Neurospora crassa OR74A: one gene and its partners. The protein of the gene in region 2 purifies or fractionates together with the protein of the main gene of each other region. This does not show direct contact. Links are inferred from orthologs where the notes say so. Each region holds a gene or a part of one and is shown on either strand. Other genes may lie near its edges. The genes, in order: NCU07913, rpt-2 and rpn-12.

What was found.
Region 1: the proteins of rpt-2 (region 2) and NCU07913 purify together in Saccharomyces cerevisiae (affinity purification with mass spectrometry; 4 studies listed by BioGRID). This does not show direct contact. The link is inferred for Neurospora crassa OR74A from reciprocal best matches to the Saccharomyces cerevisiae genes RPT2 and SEM1.
Region 3: the proteins of rpt-2 (region 2) and rpn-12 purify together in Saccharomyces cerevisiae (affinity purification with mass spectrometry; 4 studies listed by BioGRID). This does not show direct contact. The link is inferred for Neurospora crassa OR74A from reciprocal best matches to the Saccharomyces cerevisiae genes RPT2 and RPN12.

Annotation. Positions count from the first base shown.
Region 1 is NC_026504.1:1,371,829-1,375,578, forward strand, and holds NCU07913 (hypothetical protein), read right to left. Parts: upstream 2,179-3,750; 5' UTR 1,820-2,178; coding exon 1,696-1,819; intron 1,460-1,695; coding exon 1,348-1,459; intron 1,027-1,347; coding exon 987-1,026; 3' UTR 543-986; downstream 1-542. Other genes in the region: pgk (phosphoglycerate kinase), read left to right, coding at 1-446; NCU07912 (hypothetical protein), read right to left, coding at 3,361-3,624, 3,682-3,747. UniProt on the Saccharomyces cerevisiae protein: Versatile protein that might stabilize multiple protein complexes involved in diverse pathways. Subunit of the 26S proteasome which plays a role in ubiquitin-dependent proteolysis.
Region 2 is NC_026505.1:3,289,628-3,293,377, forward strand, and holds rpt-2 (26S protease regulatory subunit 4), read right to left. Parts: upstream 2,530-3,750; 5' UTR 2,321-2,529; coding exon 2,318-2,320; intron 2,252-2,317; coding exon 2,192-2,251; intron 2,078-2,191; coding exon 1,268-2,077; intron 1,211-1,267; coding exon 704-1,210; 3' UTR 281-703; downstream 1-280. Other genes in the region: NCU01223 (hypothetical protein), read left to right, coding at 1-280; NCU01225 (ubiquitin conjugating enzyme), read left to right, coding at 3,476-3,736. UniProt on the Saccharomyces cerevisiae protein: The 26S proteasome is involved in the ATP-dependent degradation of ubiquitinated proteins. The regulatory (or ATPase) complex confers ATP dependency and substrate specificity to the 26S complex. Has ATPase activity.
Region 3 is NC_026507.1:2,809,393-2,813,142, forward strand, and holds rpn-12 (26S proteasome non-ATPase regulatory subunit 8), read left to right. Parts: upstream 1-1,638; 5' UTR 1,639-1,993; coding exon 1,994-2,581; intron 2,582-2,725; coding exon 2,726-3,007; 3' UTR 3,008-3,322; downstream 3,323-3,750. Other genes in the region: NCU10066 (coatomer alpha subunit), read right to left, coding at 3,488-3,730. UniProt on the Saccharomyces cerevisiae protein: Acts as a regulatory subunit of the 26S proteasome which is involved in the ATP-dependent degradation of ubiquitinated proteins. Necessary for activation of the CDC28 kinase.

The DNA of each region.
Region 1 (3,750 bases), on a different chromosome or scaffold from region 2:
AGAAGGCCGAGAAGAACAACGTCAAGCTCGTGCTCCCCGTCGACTTCACCATTGCCGACAAGTTCGACAAGGACGCCAACACTGGCTACGCCACAGACAAGGACGGCATTCCCGACGGCTGGATGGGTCTCGACTGCGGCGAGGAGTCGGTCAAGCTCTTCACCCAGGCCATCAACGAGTCCCAGACCATCCTCTGGAACGGCCCCGCCGGTGTCTTCGAGTTCGACAAGTTCGCCAAGGGCACCAAGGCCACCCTCGACGCTTGCGTCAAGGCTGCCGAGGAAGGCCGCACCGTCATCATTGGCGGTGGTGACACCGCTACCGTCGCTGCCAAGTACGGCGTTGAGGACAAGCTCAGCCACGTCTCCACTGGCGGTGGTGCTTCTCTTGAGCTCCTTGAGGGCAAGGCTCTCCCTGGTGTTGTTGCTCTTAGCGAGCGTCAGTAAGTTTGTCCTTGGCTTTCAAAGGAGTTGGGAAGGAGATATAATGATGTTATGAAACCTCTCGGATATTGAATGAGAGATCATGACTGATGGATCAAAAAAACATATGATGATAAAGGGTCCTTGGAAGGATTAGCAGGGCCAGTCTATGATAGGCACTCAGTCCAAAGTCGATAAATAGAACAAAACAGTTAAAGTCCAGTTTTTATGATTCGAAGTGTGATGTGCGGATAAGCTTGACGAATCTGGTTCATCCCAAGATATTATTCGAGTTTATGCACCAAGTTCGAGACGAAGTCTATGCAGATCATCTCAATCCCGTGTTGATACCCAATGACTTGTGTCAATGACTACACAAGTCGGTACGTCTCCGGATATTGTCTCTTTATAGTCGGAGGGTCTCCTTCACCTTTCACTCGCATATCGAAGCCTCGCACAGCAATGTCACCGCAAGATCCCGGACTGAAACTTTGGTCAACATTGTATTGATGCGCCTGTCCTCCCCTCATATCATACTTTGTACAAGCTTCGAAAGTCCTCCGATTACCGCTTCTTGGCAGCCTCAACCTTCTTGAGCTCCTCCCTAATGGTTTGAAAAAGACAAGTCAGCAACTGTCGCTTTATACGGCTTTGCTTTTTGTTTCCTCCATAAAGTTCCAAAATGGTGTGATTCATTTTAACGCCTGACTGACTGGCCCAGCGCAATACGCGCCAACCCGGGTCTAGGATTTTCAATCCCAACTCCTAGCGCAAAGCTAGCTAATTACGTGAAGTGGAAGTTCATAGTAAAGGAGTAGGAGGAGGAGGGAGAGGGAAAGGGAGGGAGGGACGCAGGTAAAAAGGGAAGGAAGAAGGAAGGAAGGAGTACGAAAAGAAAAGGAAAAAAAAAACAAAAAAAACGTACTTTAGCTGGGCGGAAAAGTCGTCGCTCGTGTCGTCGTCGTCCCAGGACTCCTCCCATAGGTGCTTGGCCTCGTTGTTGCCCTTGGCGGCTTCTGTGTCTTCGGCTTCCCAGTCTATTTTGGTTATTTTGTTAGTTACATGTGCGGTACAACAGCTGGGGGAGCTAGCCTCCGCAGTTGCGCAAGTTGAAGGAAGTTTGGTATGTAGTGTCCGTGCCAATGATGAAGGGTATAGGCAGAGAGGTTGTTGAATGATATGATATATGGAAGCAGGTCGTGATGCGGTGGTGTTTGAAATGCGATGCGGCGTCCAGCAAAAGGTGCTTCTTAGCCATGGCGGGCAGACTAACCATCGACGGGGAAGTCCTCAAACTCGTCGTCCTCCTCCAACACGGCCGTCTTCTTCTCGGTAACGGGCTGCTCGGGCTTGGGCTCGGTCGACTTGGCGTCGTTCTTGGGTTGTGTTGAGGCCATTGTGAATGTTGTGATTTGTGTGTGTAGGTATAGAGGGATGGGACCAGCTGGACTGAAGCTGATGACGCTAGACGGATGGATTGTATCGACGAATTGTTCGAAAGGCGGGCAAACTCGTCGGGCGTACTTTTAATCACGTCGTGGTGATGATGATTGCGCTTGGTTTTGTTGTTTGGTATTATGCGCACGGAGGAGAATCGAAATCGTCGGTTTGGCGGCGGCAAGATGTTGGGCGCTGCGGTGGTTGATAGCTCTAGGTAGTAGCTTTTGGTCCGTCAGTCGTGACAGCTCGTGATCTTGTCGTTTGTTCCGTCAACTGCAGCTGCCGAGTGACGGGCCCCCAACCCAAGGCGGCAGCGAGACGACGTGCCAATTCGGCTTCCTCCGCCCACTGCACTTGGCCTGGCCGAGCCAGGGGCGGCAAGAAAGAGCACGGGCCATGTCGCAGATCTTGGCAAAAAGCTCTGGGACCCACTTTGGTATGTCCCCCGCCGCTGAGCTGTGATTGTGCTCTTGGTGTGTCTTTCTGTTTGGCATCGTCATTGATGTCTGGTCTGTACATATTGGAAGATCAACGCTGCACTGTTCAGGCATTGCAGTTCGTCCGAACCATCACTGACAGTTGCAGATGGCTTCCCATTTCTTGCATACTACAGTATACTGCCTGCAGTTAAGATTTCTAGTTCAACACGTAGAGCGCGAATCAGCCCACCAGGAAATCTTGGGTATAGAGGCAAACAACTAACAAGAAGAACTTCCTGCTGGTTCAGTTGCAAACACTTTGTCCCGGTAGCTCTATGGTGCGGCATCAAACCAATCTTCCGAGACCTTTGTTCTTTTCTCTTTTCCCCTCTTGTTGCAAACTGAACCTCATACATATCTGCTCAACTGAGCCATTGCGGTGAACCAGTTCGGGACTCCAATGTCACCTCTAGCAAGTGGTTACACGACATGGGATGCCGATATCTGCAGTGCTTATATCGAATCTGACCTAGAAGTCCCATTGAGACTCGATTGGCCTTTGCCCTGGCCATTCGCGAGTTGAGAGAAATGGATGATAGGTACCCCGGAGACTATATGGAGATCTGGGGGGAATCGGCCATTCCGTCATGGCTGGAACCCGGCTTTAGAACCCAGACCATATTCTTGGATGATGCAAGACCCAGAGGGCTACGATTGAGATGTAGATTGTACCGTACGGTGTGCAGAAGAGCGCGGCTTAGACGTGCCGGCTGCATTGGATATTATCTCCAGTATACCTTGGGATGGATACTGACACAACACAGTATCAAATGAAGGACTTATGACAGTTTATGCCACAGTTTGCCCAAGTTCCAGGGCAGCAACCTTGGAATGGAACAAGGTGTGAAAACCGCGGACGGCATCGGGGACCCTTTTTCGATTGTCTCTCTTGGAAAAGGCACTGTCTCTTGGACGCCTCGTCGCCTCTTTCCCCTCGTTCCTTTTTTTCCTTTTCCTCTTTTTTCTTTTCTCTGGGGCAATGCTACTACACTAGTTCCTTCACGTACTTGGGCGAATACTTAAAAGACCAGCCCCGCTGCTGACCACGAAGCCCTTTCAGAAACAAGCCGCAGCTCAGCCCAAGAACGAAAACCTGACAACAAACCTACGGTACATACGAACCTAATCCGATCATACTCGCATTTCTCCTTCTCATTGAAAAAGCTCCACCCGTTCGTCGAGTCAAGAGAATCAATGATCGGGACTTGCTTGATATCGGCAGGCATACCGTACCTCGAGACATCGACGACCTCCCTCCATTGGAGTCCTTCCCCGATGATCAACTAGATAAAACCCCACTTTCCGATCTGGTTCCCTCACGTCCAGGTCTGCACGCTCACGGTACGCCCGCTTGCGCTGAACGAACAAATCGCACACGGGCACCATACCTCGCTGGGGCAGAACATTGC
Region 2 (3,750 bases):
GGGGGCTGTATGCAGGGGAGTCGATGGATGGGACGGTGGTGGTGGTGTCGAGGGGGGTGCGAATGAGGAGTTTTATGGGAGGAAGGGGATCACGGTGAAGGAGATTCCGAAAGGGGGTGTGCCTTGGCCGGAACGAGGGCGAGATACGAAGGATGGTAAAAAGGTTTGGTCGGAGGGGGTAATGGGCTTGGTGGAGGCTTTGAGTGCGGCTGATCAGCAGGGGAGGAGAATATGTGATGGGGACCATGATGGTTCAAGCAGGAGAGTAAAGGGTGGTTAAATGTATAGAGATAGAGAGAAGGATACACGCAGAAGGATAGATTAGATGCCGCCTGGTGACAATGGGAGAGATAGCATACGTAGGAGGTGCAGCGTCAAGCTTACATGAGTAGGATGAGAGGCAGTGGTGGGCTTCACGTTTTGCGTAGATACAACTGACATGAAGCTGGACTTCACAATGAATGTATCAACGAACCAACAATTTAAGGCGTGGAAAACATACCCTTACAGGAGCCAACCGTAAAGTTTCTTCTTTCTCCATGATAAAACGCTACGGTATCCCTTCATCTTCACTCAAACTAAGGTACGCTTAGTGATGGCTGGATATCGACATCACAAGGCTGAATTGTCAAATCCATTCCCAGTCGCAATCCGCCCAAATCTGAAAAGTCTTGCAAATTAGGCCAGATAATATGCGGTTATGTTACAAGTACAAGCCCTCGGGCTCGCCTTCCTGCTTGGTGCGCAGAACTCTTTCACGAGCAGCTCTGAAGTCTGCCATCTGCACCCGCATTCTGCGCTCACGGAGGGCCATGAGACCGGCCTCAGAGCAGATGGCCTTGATGTCGGCACCTGAGAGATCGTCCTTCTGGGCGATGAACTCTTCCAGGTCAACATCCTCGTTAAGTGACATCTTGCTGGTGTGGAGCGTGAAGATCTTGCGCTTGGTGTTCTGGTCGGGATTCTCGAAGAGAATCTTGCGGTCGATACGGCCAGGACGGATTAAAGCAGGGTCAAGCGACTCGATCTTGTTGGTGGCCATGATGACCTTGACGTCTCCACGGTCGTCGAAACCATCCAGCTGGTTCAGCAGCTCCAACATGGTTCTCTGGATTTCACGTTCGCCGCCCGATGTCGAGTCGTAACGCTTGGTACCGATGGCATCGATTTCGTCGATGAACACGATGGAAGGGGCATTCTCGGCGGCAACCTGAGGAACATGTTAGAGTATATATTTGACAGTGTAGCTTGAAACACTTTTACATACCTGGAAAAGCTGGCGGACCAGTCGAGGACCATCACCAAGATACTTTTGGATAAGCTCGCTACCAACGATGCGCAAGAACGTTGCCGAAGTTTGGTTTGCCACAGCCTTGGCAAGGAGGGTCTTACCGGTACCGGGAGCACCGTAAAGAATGACACCCTTGGGTGGCTTGATACCCATTTCTTCGTAGAGCTCCGGATGCAGCAATGGAAGCTCAACTGATTCACGAACTTCCTGGATCTGCTGTTCCAAGCCACCAATATCCGCGTACGACTCCGTGGGCGCCTTGTCAAGCTTCATGACGCTGACGGCCGGATCCGTGTCGTCGGTGAGCACGCCAACAATGCTGACACTCTTGTGATGTAGCAGGACGCTGGCGCCGGGCTCCAGAAGGTCTTTGTCGACAAAGCTCATGATGCTAACGTAGTACTCGGGCCCCGATGTGCTGGAAACGATGGCGTGGTCGTCGTCGATCAACTCCTCGAGAACACCGACACCCATGGGGCTGCCACGCATATCATCGACACGGGAGCGCTCGTCAGCCATACGGTCGGAAGACTCGAGCTCGGACGCAGGAGCATTGCTGTCCTTGGCGGTCTTCGCCTTGCGTAGACGTTCTTGATTTTCGACATATTCTTCCTCGAGCAGTAGATGATCGTGGATTCGTTGCATTCGTAGGAGTCGGAGTTTGCATCGGCTTGTCGGATACACTGAGGGGAGCTTGGCGGCAGCGCTGGCACCGCCTTGTCTCTTCTTCTTGCGACCGATGCGGGTGGTAGGCTTCGGCGGCGGCTCGTACTTGGGCTTATCTTTCTGTTTTGGTGGCGATGGTGGTTAGCGATGTCCATGATGTCAGCGCCTGAGTCTCACAGGACAGCAAGCATGCCGCGCACAACAGAAACCTTGACGCAACTGAAGCCATCCTACCTTATCTTTCTTGGACTTTGAAGGGTCCTGGCCTCCGCCCATGCCAGACTGATTTTGACCCTGCGCAGCTTGTCAGTATGCGATGCGTTGCAAGCTTGAGCTCAGCTCCGTATTGCGGCAACTGACCATGTTGACGGTCCGCCTTTCGCGATTCTTGAAAGTGTGGTGGAAGACTCAAAGGGGTGCTGAGAATTATATGATGGGGTCGCAAAAGTGCCGCACGATCTGAACTCGTTGATCTCAGCGGCAGTGATGGAAACGATTAAGTTGTGCTGGTGTTCGTTGTTGGCGGATGCCCGTTTGAGGTTCAGTTGCGACGGGATGGCGAGCTCCAGTTCAGGCCCCCAGTGAACGCGACACACCTCATCCGTCTGTCGTCCAGTCGTACACCTGACGCACAGACCATCAAGACTACTAAGCTGCCGGGGGCAATAGCACCTTGCATGTCGTTTGAGCGCTCCTAGCACTTGCTGTGCGTTTGCATTCGATCTGTCTACTGACCATACCTGGACAAGCTGCACAGCTTTAAGTTTGTACTTGTACCGTATGACGGACTGTTTTCCCATACATACAGCGCATGGCCACGACATTGGCAAGGGAGGGGACCATCCCAGGGACGAGTCCAGCCAGAGCCTCCTGCTTCCATCCTATCCCGTCGCAACTTTGTGTACATTGGAGGGCGACAGTGGTCATTCGTCCTCAACCTTGCCCGTACTATACTAAAAAATAAAGCAAGGTGTGGCTGAGGCGATCAAAACACTAGGAAGAACACCACGCTCGCCAATTAGGTTATGTGAGCATTTGACTCTTGGCACTCTTGGGTACCTCTACGGACGCTGCTCCCCACCTGACTCTTGAAGTTGCCTTTTTGCTTTCCTTTCCCTCGACAGGAAGTGACGACGACCATCTCACCTTGTCAGCGAATGCTCTTTCAGCCTTGCATTCACAAATAACCTACGGTACCTAAGCAGGCCCGGTTCGCCAATCCTCGATCAGTTGCGGAAGAAAACCTAAAACGTCCTGTCGTTCGTTCCACTGCCAGCTCCTCCATCACTGAAGAAACCCTCCCGTCTCACCTTGCAACATCATTTCACGGGCCTCCTTGACCCCTCCACAAGGTTAATCTTATCAGTACTCCGTTGTTATACTTCACTTATTTCGCTGAACACCACTTCCTACCATCTTATTTGCGTCCAACAGCAAACCATATACTGTACCCACTCCCATTCCCATTTGGGCGCAATACACTTCCCTTCCTCTGCACCAACACCCCATCACTTGACCATGGCGACTACTCGTGAGCGCCGCGTTGCGAAGGAATTGCAGGATATATGGAATGACCGCGAGACCTCGGGCGTCATGGCCGAACCTCTCGACTCGAGCAATCTGTCGCACCTCAAGGGCTCCTTCAGCGGCCCTCCAGACTCGCCCTATGCTGGGGGTACATACGAGGTCGACATTCAGATTCCGGATAAGTACCCGTTCAAGCCGCCCTCGATGTATCTTATTACCAAGATCTGGCACCCCAACGTCAGCAGTGTCACTGTACGTTTCTCTCG
Region 3 (3,750 bases), on a different chromosome or scaffold from region 2:
TGCCTATACAAATACTTCGGGTCTTCGAATATATTAATTCAATACAAATAGAATATCTATTTAAATATACTCATCTTCTAATCGGCGAATATAACCGTATATTCAACTATATAGAATATAACCTTATTAAGGATCTACGCTACTAAATAATCGTTGTAAATAGCCTCCCGGAATCTAATTTAAACCGAATTTAGAGCAATATCGAATTTAAAGGTTAAATTTAAACTAATATAATTATACTTATTCTATATAATATTAATATTAATTATAGTAATTCAATTCGCAAATAGAAGCGGCTTAATTTTAAGTAATCTAATAATATATATAACGCTCGCGATTATTATAATATTAATAAGAATAAAGTTATTATAAGAATAATTTAAGGACGAATTTAAATTAGGACCGGCAAATATTTTTTAAGGAGGGGGCTCAATAATAGCGGAGATTATATAAATTATTTAAGATTTTCTTACAATTACTATTACTACCCGAAGTAGCTTCGTAATAGCGGGTACTGTTACTAAAAATAATTTTATAATAAAAGGGACTATAGGGGTTGCCCGAAATAGAATATTAGACACTTTAATAAACGAATTAATAAGCAATAAAAATAAAAATAGACAATCTTAGTAGAATAACCGCTTTACCTTCTATACTAATGTAGGCCGGTAAACGGAAGATATTCGTATCTCTTTATCCTTATTATTTTTAATTATATTAATTATTATATTTATAAATAAATCCCCTATATTATCCCCCTCCTTTTTATCCTCCTCCTTATCCTCCTCTTTATCCTCCTCTTTATCTTCCTTATTATTATCCTCTATAAATTCTTATTCTTACTCATCCTCCTTATTATTATCCTCTACAAACTCTTACTCTTACTCATCCTCCTACCCTTATCCATCATCCAAACTAATCCTAAAATAAATATTAAAAATTTTAATCGTCTTTAAGGGAGGGCGCTTAAACTTAAATAGAATAATCCTTAGACTATATTTCGAAGTCGGCGTTAGGGTCTTTAATATAATCTTACAGGAGCTAAACAGCTTAGGCGCAACAATATTCTTCTTAGAAGGCAGCTTCTTTAGGATAAGAGCAGCCTTAGAAGTTAGCTTAGAAGTAGGAACAACAAGGGCAACCTTCTTTACAATCTTAAGAATAACCTTCTTTAGAGTAGGAATAGGTTCGACGGAGGGGGTAATAGCCTTACTTTTACCCTTCGAATTAACAGTAGGAAGCCTTACTTCCTCCAGCTCGGACTTAAAGTCCGCTACTTTATAACTCTTTTTACATTACTATAGAGGGTTCTTCCTTATAAGAGAGGATAATAGAAGTTATAAATCGTTAACAGCTTTACAATCCCGGTCAATATCCACCGCCTAACTAATATAATACTTCCTACCGAACGCTACGACGGCGGCGGCGGTAGCGGCAACCCGGGGGTCGGTCTTCTTAGTAGTAGTACAAAATATAATAAATTACAGCAGGTAATTACGGGCGCACAAGTATAAATAGCTTCGTTGTTAATAGAATTAATTGATTTTGACTATCTACCAGGCTCGCCAGCGACTCGACAGCTAGCCAGATGATGGGGGTGCAAAGAGGGTCTGGCGTTTGGCGGTGGATACGAGGGTCTGGCGTTTGGCGGTGGGAACGTGACGCCCCCAAGACAGCGAGCATCCAACCTTCAGCCTCGACACCAAACTACGTACCTACATCCACTGCCTCGTTTCCCATGACAAGCCATAACTATCAACAAAATCCCGTCGACAAGCCATAAACCATCGCCGGTCTATTTAGTACCACAACAATATCCACTCGGAATCAGAATACACATACGCGACGCATTTACCCAACCATCACATCCACTTGCCGCCCGCGATAGCTTCAACAACCACCTAGAAGCTAAAACAACAAACGAACCTCGACGTGCGGCAACCCCAGATTATCACCACCACAACACCACAACCAGACACCACAACCGCCCAACATGGCAGAACGACAACTCACCCAAATCCTCACCCAACTCCAGACCTCCGCCTCCTCCCTCTCCTACACCGACTCCTCCGCCCTCCTCTCCAAAGCCAAGCTCTTGCTCCTCCAACTCAACGCGCTGACCCCGACCGCGCCCGGCTCCGCTTCCAACCCCTCCCTCTTCTCTCTCGCCCGCCAAGTCTACGAGCAAGGTGCCCTGGCCTCGATCCGCGCCAAGAACCCCGACGCCTTTTTGCGCTACGTCAGCCAGCTCCAAGGGTTCTACGAGCTCGAGAGTACTGTCGGTACCGGTGCCGCTGGTGGCAGGATTGCCGGTGCGGACGCAAACAGGGAGGAGAAGAACAAGGTCACGGGCTTGTATCTGCTGCTGCTGTTGACGCAGGGACAGTATGCCGAGTTCCATAGCGAGCTGGAGGCGCTGAGCACGAGGCTGGGTGGCGCGACGCGCGAGCTGGAGGCGGATAGATATCTCGGGTATCCCATCAAGCTGGAGAGGTGGCTGATGGAGGGGAGCTATGATCGTGTGTGGAAGGCAATGAAGAAGGGCGAGGTTCCTTGTGAGGAGTATGGAGTTTTTTCCGAGGTTCGTGGGTTTTCTTTTATTGCGTCTTGCTTTCTCTACCTTTTCCCCCTAGGTCCTTCTCTCTCGCTCTCCCCCAAGCAACGATATCACGATTAACTATCTGTACCACATCAATCACTAACCACCGCATCTTACTGTCAACAGATCCTCACTTTCCAAATCCGCTCCGAAATCGCCTCCTCCTCCGAGCGCGCCTACCCCTCGCTTCCCATCTCCTCCACCAAGTCGCTCCTCTTCCTCGAGTCCGAGGGCGAAGTGGTCGAGTTCGCCCGCTCCCGCGGCTGGGTACTCAAGGACGGCCACATCTACTTCCCGTCTGCTGAGCCGACGACGGAGGAGGCCGGTGCCGAGCAGGAGAAGCCCTTCAGCCGGTTGATCATTGAGAATACGCTGGGCTATGCTAGGGAGTTGGAGACGATCGTCTAAACAGTAGAAAAACAACAAAGTGGCTGGCCGGTGTGGTATGGGTTGGGTTGGGTTGGTTTATGCAAGCGTTCTTAAACGATGGTCCTTAGAGATCTAGCTACATAGGCAGAACAGAGGCCACGTACAGATACACTACTTAACATTGTGTTCCATGTGTCGCCTATATGTATACAAAAACATGATACATAATATTACGGCTTGCGTCTGGCATGGTATTATCTAACTGACAATTCATGCGACCACGACTTTCTGTTCGGATTATAGCACACGAACTTACTTGGTAGCAGGCAGTAATTGTTATGCAACAGGCGCGTCCAAAATGGTTTTGTCTTTCCTTTTCTCTTCTCCCCTGTTCTTCCTGCAGAAGAAAGCAAGAAACGCGATCATTATACCTACTTTGACTGTACTTTAACTACTACTTTACTTGTCATCAAAACCCCCATCATCGTGTAGCGCCAACCGCATACAAACCCACCCCTTTTAAGCAAACAGCTTCAGGCCACTACCGTGCTTTCCGACCTCGCAAACCTCGCAGACTGTGCACACCGTGCCCTTGTACTTGGTGTGGTACTTGGCTCCGTCAAATGCGCACTCCTCGTAAGGGGTACCGCTGTAGATGGGCGTGAAGCTGGCAGCGCAGATCTCAAACTCGGCAAACTGATCGAACTCGATCTCCACGGCGTCATGGGGGTTGCGCTCGCATTGCGCCTTGGTTCTCTTGGCCTGTTATTTTCAAATATGTC